Linked DNA regions of Neurospora crassa OR74A. Each later gene encodes a partner of the first gene's protein in a complex. Links are inferred from orthologs where the notes say so. Each region holds a gene or a part of one and is shown on either strand. Other genes may lie near its edges.

Region 1 (4,194 bases):
GATGGAAGATTGCAGATGCTTCGGGTACAGTCCGCCACCTGGCCTGTTCACTTCACGTAGGTGTTCCGGCAGGAGGTGATCAAAGGCGGTAGTGAGCATGCGGATAATCTCGGAACTTTCGTTGTTGACAACGGTGTGGGTCTTCTTGTCCCAGAGCATGGGAACTGTAAAAGGACCGGTGAAGGAGGGGTCGGCCTTCTTGTAGAGATCGGGGAGGTACTTGAAGCCGTAAAAGGGGTCTGCAGGGAAGGAAGAACCTTTACCGCTAAAGTACCAGCCCGTGGGACCCATGGATGCGTGGAGTTCGTACAGGTCGATAATGTCCTCGAGTCCTTTGAGAATCCGGACTATGGAGGTTCTATGTGCCTGTTACCAAATGTGTAAGTTGACGGCCGACAAGAATAACGATCAAGTGAAAAAAGGAGCAAAGTTTACCCAAGGACATGTGGGCGAGATGTACAGAGCATACCGCCCCTTGTCTGCTGGAAATTGAGCATTGGGATCAGGGGAGATAAAATGGCGGAATGCGCTTTCGCTGCGAATGAAAGCTCCGGATCCCTCGTTATCCTGTTGTCCTGGGGTTAGCTGCGAGAGCTTGGAGGGGGAGGTATAGATCATAACCAACTTTGGAAGCCATTGTCAGTATGGAGATATTTAGCTAGAAGATGATGTTTTACAAGGCTTGCTAATCAAAGTTTGCGGATATGAAGACTGGCGCAATGGATGAGGGAAACGGAACGCAATCCTCGAAAAGTCGAAGTCAAGAAGTCAGGCCGGTCAAAGAAGAAGAGGGGTACTGGGCAACAACTCGACAATAAAACCGGGGGGAACGACTCGAGAGTCACATGAGTCAATGATGTGATGGTGGTGTAGCAATCAGTCAGCACAACGGATAAGTCGAGAAGCGTTGATGAGGGCACAGGTGGACGCAATGGTTCAGTTCGTAGGAAGAGTCAGGGAAGAAGCAGACGACGAGACTCGGATGGTGTTGAAGTCAATTGAAGGATTTCGTGGAAAAGGACGAAGTCTCGTCTGGGGTATGACCTAATCTAGAGGTACTGCCCTCTCCTGTGCCTGTGGGCAGTCATACGCACCTTCCCATCGACAGTTGATGACAAATTCGGCAAGGACAGCCACAGATGTCGACGCAGACGGAGAGTTGGAATTGTGTGATTGTTTACTGTGCAGTGTAGATGGTTGATGCTTCAGCGGTAATTGTTAGTGCATAACCCCCCCTGAGCAGTGAGGTTCAAAGTGGGTCCCACCCCCCAATCCATCAAGGTCCCTGGGCCTGAGCGTGGAGTCGTCTCGGTCGAGACCCATTCACGCCTCCAACGGACCCGCAGGACCCGCAACGCGCTAAGCTCTGGACTTTTCTCGCCGATTTTTTTTTTTTTCTCGGCGGCAATTGAAATTCCTCTTCGGGAATCGGAATTCCACTTTTGCAATCTTGAACCCAGCAACGAACAGGATTGCGAACCAGGCAATTCAAGATGCACCATTCAGTAATTAAGCCCAACAGCTGGGTAGCCCTCAAGCTGCCCTCCGGTGTTACCAGAGTTATCCAGGTCACTCCTAATACGTACGTCAACCGAGAACAATGGCGGCTTCAAAGTAAACAAAACATGGTGAGATGCTGATATGCCTTCATCGCACCACCAGATCGATCTCCCTTGGAAAATACGGCACCTTCCCCGCCAACCTAATCCTCGAACGCCCATACTACCTTACCTTTGAGGTCCAAGACAAGCTTCCCGAAGAAAGCTTTTCCCGCCTCCGAGTCGTCCCCCCTTCCGAACTTTACGCCGATGTCTTCGCCGAAGAGGACGCCGAATGCGCCAACCCCGCTGCCGGTCCTGGTTCGAACAATGACGCCGTCATTGCCACCGCCGCTGGCGAAGAATTCAGCTTAGTCGATGCCGAGAGCGGCAACGTCATTGCGCGGTCTACCCAAGAAGTTATCGACGAGAACGCCCGCCAGAAGCTGACACAAGCGGAAATCGAGGAGTTGAAGCGCGACGGGACCAACGCCGGCAAGGACGTCATCGCCAAACTTCTCTTGTCGCATGCTGCTCTCGACCAGAAGACTAGTTTCAGTTTGTCCAAGTACAAGCTGTTGAAGACGAAGAAGTACATCAGGAGGTTCCAGGTCCTGCCCATCGACGTTCCCACCTTTTCCAACTGGCAGCTGGAGGAGAGAGATGCTAGCAAGATCTTGGACATTCGCGCCGAGATGATGGGTTTGGTCGGTTGCTGGGGTAACGTTCACTATGGCGGTGCGGACGTCTTCCTGGAGGATCCCAAGGCGACAACAGAACAAGGAGAGGAGGCTCTTGCACCCTTGCAAGAGGACTTGCTGGCTGGAAGGTGGCTAGTTGTCGATGATACCGGTGGTCTATTAGTCGCAGCCATGGCCGAGCGCATGGGTGTTCTCTACAAGGAAGATGACGAGACCGAGGAAGCGGCGGAAGAGGAGGAAGCCACAGAAAAGGCCGAGGAAGAGACGGAACCAAAACAGGAATCTGACACGACCAGCCAAAAAGACACGGAAATGATTGACGGACAACAGCAAGCAGCAACATCAGAGACAACAACTCTTCCCCGACACCCCAAGCGCCCGCGTGACAACAAGCCGCGCGACTCCGATTTCGCCGTTCCCTTTTCGCAAACCAACACCATCACCGTCCTTCACGGCGCCAGCCAACCGAACCTTTCATTCCTCAACTACTGGAACTTCGATGTCACCGCCCCACAACACCCGCCGCACCCGCTACTGAACCACCTTCTCACGCTCAGCTGGCTGCAGCTCCTCAAGCCCGAACTCGACACCTCGTACTCGACCCCTCCCCTCACTGCCGATCCCGAGACCTTGAGCACCTGGAAGCCCAGCCGCCGCGGCAACTTCCACCGCAAGCGCAGACGCTACGCCCGCGTTCGCCACATTGTCGACAGCACGCGCGCCGGCAACTTCTCCGGCCTCGTCTGCGCCAGCACCATGGACCCGATCTCGATCCTCAAGCACGCCCTTCCCCTCTTGGCCGGCGGCGCCCCCGTGGCCATCTACTCCCCTTCTCTCGAGCCTCTCGCGACACTAGCCGATTGCTTCAGCGTTGCCAGGAGGACGGCGTGGAACAGCGGACACGTGGCGGAGATCCAGGGCAAGACGGCCGAAGAGCTGGAAAAGTGGGAGGGAAGCGAGCAGTTCCCTCTCAACCCCACGCTGTTACTGGGCACAAGCATCCAGACTAGCAGGGCGAGGAGGTGGCAGGTGTTGCCGGGCAGGACGCATCCGTTGATGACGGAGCGCGGTGGTGCGGATGGATATATCTTTACTGGATGGAGAGCGAAGCCAGCGGAGGGCAAGATTGCGGCCAAGGGCAAATTTAAGAGGAGAAAGGTGGAGGAGAGCGTTTCGACGCCGGCTTCGGCATGAGTGGATTGGTCGGAAAGAGTTATTTATGGGAGTTCAAGGATGCCACTTCTCTCCCCGTGCATCGGAAGATCTCACACAGAGGTTTCCACGGAAGCAATGAGGTCGAGGGAAAGTCAGAAAGGAAAAGACAGTTAGAGCGTTTCGAGGCTCGCTTACAGTAGGTGGACTCGACCAGCCGAGGAGGAGTGGAGGCGACCATGGGTTTAAATGATTATGCTTTGTCCATGAAAGGCGGGCAAACAATGAGCAGGAGTCTGATAGTGGTAGCAGTTAGGAGAACCAGCATGACCGATATGCATAGATCTCGTTTGCTCTTAGATACCATTTGCACGAAATAGAGCTGCAGTAATTCTACTAATCGAACGTCAACTGGAGATATAACCCATGTCGCTCATGATCGGGTTTCAAGTGTATGTGTACTCGATCTATGCCTGATCGAACCGGACCACGCAAAAACAACAACAACTGAAAGTCTTGCTCGCTCGCCCCAACACACCCTCACACTCTAGGAAACTTGAAATATTATTTGTGTAGAGTACGTATTATACTTTGGCGCTAAACGATTCCATGCAACGCCATCTGAACAGGGAAGGCATCGCATCAGAGTCCCTTGCCCATGAACTTCCTCTTGGTAAAGCTCAACCACCACTTGCTCGGCTTGTCCTCGGTCTCGTCGTCGTACACGCGCGCCAATAACCTCTGCGCCAGTTCCTGCCGGACCTGCGACAGGTACTGACGGAGGACTTCTGCGTCTTGACGGT
Region 2 (3,938 bases), on another chromosome or scaffold:
GCTTCGTCTAAGAGGGAAAGGTGTTAGAGACGAGATCATGAGGTTGGCACAATAGCCAGTGCGTGTGACATAATTCAAACCAGGGAGACACATACCAAAACCGAAGAAACCCATGATGATATATCGAAGGAGGTATAGGTTGGAGGTCAATGTTTACTAGTTAAAGGTTGCGCAATTGAGTAAAGAAAGAAAGAGAAAAGTTGCGAGGAAGTGATCAGTTTGAGTAGGTATGAGCCATCAATGATATAAAATACGAGATTCCTCCCGCCTCCCCTCCCTCTCGGCTTCTGAAACGCTCTGACGTATACGAGTTGCCAAACAGTTCATCCAATATCCACCCTTTCCCTCTGCTTCGGGTATGTCGGTACGTATCCATCTTGTGATGGCAGTGCTGCAGAGGGTGGGGAACTAAAAACCGAACCACCTGGCAGCTGAAACTCCACGGACAGTTACGCGTATACACACCTTTTGCCGGCATTTAAACGGGTTTACAGACACTTTCCCTCGCTTATGTTTCGAATAGGGTGAGCACAAGTATCTGTAATCTGTAACAAGATTAGTGAAAGGAAACATTGGTTTGGGGGATGCAGAGTGTGGATGGAGAGCACCACGGAGCATCCAGTATACAGTCTCTTGATGATCTTTTTAGACACAGAGAGGGCAGATATGGGAGGGAAAGATTCGAATGATCATTGCTTCTCTGAATTTCTATTTCAACCATTGCGTCTGGTGATGGGTAGGTAAGTTTGTGGTTTTCACCTCAACCGGAGAAAACCTCCTTTTATGAATACTGTAACAGCATGTGCAGTAATGGTACATAGTGGTTGGCCACGACTTGACTGCATACATAGGTAGGTACCATCCATGTGACGTGATAGAAGCGGGTCCCACCGACAGACTGGTGGTAGGTACGTGCCCCAGGTTGGTGGTTGTCAGCGGCAGGCCCTTCCTTACAACCAACCATATACGCCCTGAATTCCAGACCTTCCAACACCTTCAGTACCCAGCTTGCGTGGTAGAGTGCTTGGGACAGAAGATACGTGGTATTTTCGTTGGACGGTAGTCAACTGGGGACTTGGGCTGTCGAGCCTTTTGCTTCTTTGCTTTTCGTTTCTTCTTTACAAGTGACGTCGTTGATTGGGTTCAGTTACTCGTCAGCAGCTTGAGCCAAGGGGATGGAAGTTGGGAACCTGAAGAAGAAGAAGATTGGTGATTGAGGGTTCAACTGCCCCCACGCCAAGACGGGTTACCCCAGAACTTGGCAAACCTTATTTGCGTGCCCCCAGTGGACGTGCCCAAGGGACCAGCTGTGCAGTGTGCTTTGGGGTTAGGGTTGAAAGAGTGGAATGAACTGATAGCCCCACTTGACCGAGCGTGTGCCCCGCAGTAAAGTTCCAATTTTTGTCGAGAAAATTTCCAAAAGGGCGACTCGGACCTGGATCTGGACCAGCATCTCGACCCGTCTTTTTTTTTTTTTTAATCAAATTATTGTTATCCGACCGCGCCGCTGATAGACCGTTTGCCTCCTCCTCTGCCGGTCATTTCCACGTATTTACAATCCTTGGTTCGTTCCCTTGAACCCGCCGGAAACGAAAACAGAACAACAAATCATCTACATAACATTGTTATTGTTCATGACCGACGCCATGACGCGACCAACCGTATCCCCGTTCCTCGAACCAGGTCTGCGCACCAAGCCCCGCTCGCTCGCCATTCTCCAGCTATCGCGCGACAATCTTCTCCCCATCTACCTTCAAGAAGCCTCGGGCGAACACGACGGCTATGCTGAGGGCGCCGTAGTCAACACTCGCTATGGCTCCTTCCCTCACTCCACCATGCTGAATGTCCCCTGGGGCTCTCAAATCAGGGCATCCAAGGTTGACACTGGCTCCCGTGGTCGCAAGAGGAAAAGAGGCCCCAAGGACGATGCCAGCCGCGACGATGCCGAAGAGAACCAGCCCGAGACCGCCGACAACAATGACACTGAGGCCACCGGTGTCAAGCAGGCCGTTGCCGACGACAGCGGCTTCATCCACGTGCTCCCTCCCACTCCCGAGCTCTGGACCCAGAGTCTTCCCCACCGAACACAGGTCGTCTACACTCCCGACTACAGCTACATTCTGCACAGGATACGTGCCAGACCTGGCTCCACGATTATCGAGGCTGGTGCCGGCAGTGGCAGTTTCACCCACGCCTCCGTCCGCGCCGTTTATAACGGATACCCTTCCAGCGCCGAGGACAGGAAAGGCAAGGTCTTCAGCTTCGAGTACCACGAGGAGCGCTACCATAAGATGAAGAAGGAGCTTACCGACCATAACCTCGACGGCCTCGTTCACCTTACACACCGTGACGTCTACAACGGCGGCTTCTTAATTGACGGAAAGAGCCCGGAAGCCGACGCAATATTCCTTGACCTCCCTAAGCCCTGGGAGGCCCTCCCGCACCTCTCGCGACGCAAGCCCCAGACCCAAGCTAAGGAGGGAGAAGATACCGCCGCCGAATGGGTATCACCGCTGAACCCCAAGAAGGCCGTACACATCTGCACCTTTTCTCCCTGCATTGAGCAGGTCACCAGGACCGTTTCGGCCATGCGTCGCCTCGGGTGGGTCGATATCGATATGGTCGAGATCGCCAACAGGAAGCTTCACACCATCCGCGACCGCGTGGGCCTCCATTACCAGACCGATCGCGGCGTCAACGTCTCGCCGCACGATGTGGAAGAGGCCCTGGAGAGGCTCGCCGAAATCGAGGAACGCGTCAGGGAGCAGGCTGCGCGCCCGAGGGGTGCGGGAGAGGATGGTGCAGAGGATGCGGACACTGTCATGAAGAATGGAGATGATGCAGCCAAGAAGGACAACGACAAGACGTCGGCCGAGCAGCCGCCATTCCAGACTCCCTGGGTTGATGGTCGCCTCATCACTAAGGGTGAGCCGGAGATCAAGACCCATACGTCGTACCTGGTGTTTGCCGTGTTGCCCAGAGAGTGGACCGAGGAGGACGAGGCGGCGGCGTTTGCCAAGCACCCCTGCGGCAAGGAGAAGGCTGTCGTTGGTAGCATTGACAAGCAGACGAGGAAGAAGGAGAGACGGGAGCAGTTGCAAAAGATTGGCGACAGGAAGGCGAGGAGGAAGGAGAGAGCTGAGAAGATTGCTGAGGCCGTCGAGTGAAGCACGCTGCATTCGGATCTTTCTCTTTTTTTTTTCTCTCCTTGATTCCCCTTTTAGCGTTTTCCAGAATACTGCATTGATGTCCACAAACATGGGCGCAGGTTCAGCCCGTATCTAATTGTCACACATGCACTTGAACTTCCCACTTTGCAATTGGACGACGTGATTGGTGGGTTTCCAATGCTCTCTCAAGGCTCAATAATGCAGCAGCACTGCAGATAAAGAGCTTCTCGATTCAAACAAAATCATCCCGGTGCGTGCCCTTAAAGCCTGGCCCAAGTGGGCGACGACTAGAATTGTGGGGTACAAAAGGCGGGTTATCGACTTGTACACTTGGACCTGAATGGCTTTGTCTCCAGAAACATCAACGCTACTTTTGGCCAAATAATCGTGCAATAACTTGCTCATTTCTCGAACCATCACCAGTCGAACAGGTGATGAAAAGAAGTTTGGAAATTCATTGCAGTCCACTTTATCTGCGCGAGGATCTTCCCTGCAGTGGCGAAGCCTCGAAGAGTTCGTCCCGTTTGCCACATTTTCGCCTTTGAAACTAAAAGATTCAAGACAACTTAAAGGTCAACAGACGACGAGAGTCCAAACATTGCACATCTATAAAACCTGTGGTATTGAGCCTGGTCGAGCTGTTCTTTCGCAAAATCGAGCCACCGATACATACGGAGCTGCATCCGGTTCAGCCGAGTACCACCGAGTGCCGTGGAACTATCTTGATCGTCTAAGAAATCGATAGTCTCGACAACGAGAATTCTCTCG

Evidence for each region. Proteins that work in one complex are often made in the same cells at the same time.
Region 2: the proteins of NCU09571 (region 1) and NCU04196 are in contact, whole or in part, in a crystal structure (PDB 5ERG), measured with the Saccharomyces cerevisiae proteins. The link is inferred for Neurospora crassa OR74A from reciprocal best matches to the Saccharomyces cerevisiae genes GCD10 and GCD14. Residues at the interface, in NP_014337.3 of Saccharomyces cerevisiae: Met1, Leu4, Thr5, Phe9, Arg16, Asn44, Asp45, Ile46, Ile47, Gly48, Tyr49, Pro50, Phe51, Gly52, Leu53, Leu85, Glu194, Tyr195, Ser197, Ser198, Ser199, Gln219, Glu220, Gly223, Met224, Leu226, Asn227, Leu228, Asn230, Ile231; in NP_012410.1 of Saccharomyces cerevisiae: Phe6, Ser7, Gly8, Tyr9, Lys10, Asp11, Trp22, Arg25, Pro55, Tyr56, Gly57, Ser58, Gln59, Ala61, His74, Leu76, Gln77, Thr79, Pro80, Glu81, Leu82, Leu85, Thr96, Pro97, Ser100, Tyr101, Met103, Gln104, Arg105, Asn107.

The regions. Positions count from the first base shown.
Region 1 is NC_026507.1:965,552-969,745, reverse strand, and holds NCU09571 (tRNA (adenine-N(1)-)-methyltransferase non-catalytic subunit trm6), read left to right. Parts: upstream 1-1,390; 5' UTR 1,391-1,493; coding exon 1,494-1,582; intron 1,583-1,662; coding exon 1,663-3,433; 3' UTR 3,434-3,808; downstream 3,809-4,194. Other genes in the region: NCU09570 (glutathione transferase), read right to left, coding at 1-366, 436-567, 626-637; NCU09572 (ARP2/3 complex 21 kDa subunit), read right to left, coding at 4,034-4,194. UniProt on the Saccharomyces cerevisiae protein: Substrate-binding subunit of tRNA (adenine-N(1)-)-methyltransferase, which catalyzes the formation of N(1)-methyladenine at position 58 (m1A58) in initiator methionyl-tRNA.
Region 2 is NC_026505.1:5,167,781-5,171,718, reverse strand, and holds NCU04196 (tRNA (adenine-N(1)-)-methyltransferase catalytic subunit trm61), read left to right. Parts: upstream 1-1,409; 5' UTR 1,410-1,634; coding exon 1,635-3,167; 3' UTR 3,168-3,438; downstream 3,439-3,938. Other genes in the region: NCU04197 (CipC protein), read right to left, coding at 1-7, 96-114. UniProt on the Saccharomyces cerevisiae protein: Catalytic subunit of tRNA (adenine-N(1)-)-methyltransferase, which catalyzes the formation of N(1)-methyladenine at position 58 (m1A58) in initiator methionyl-tRNA.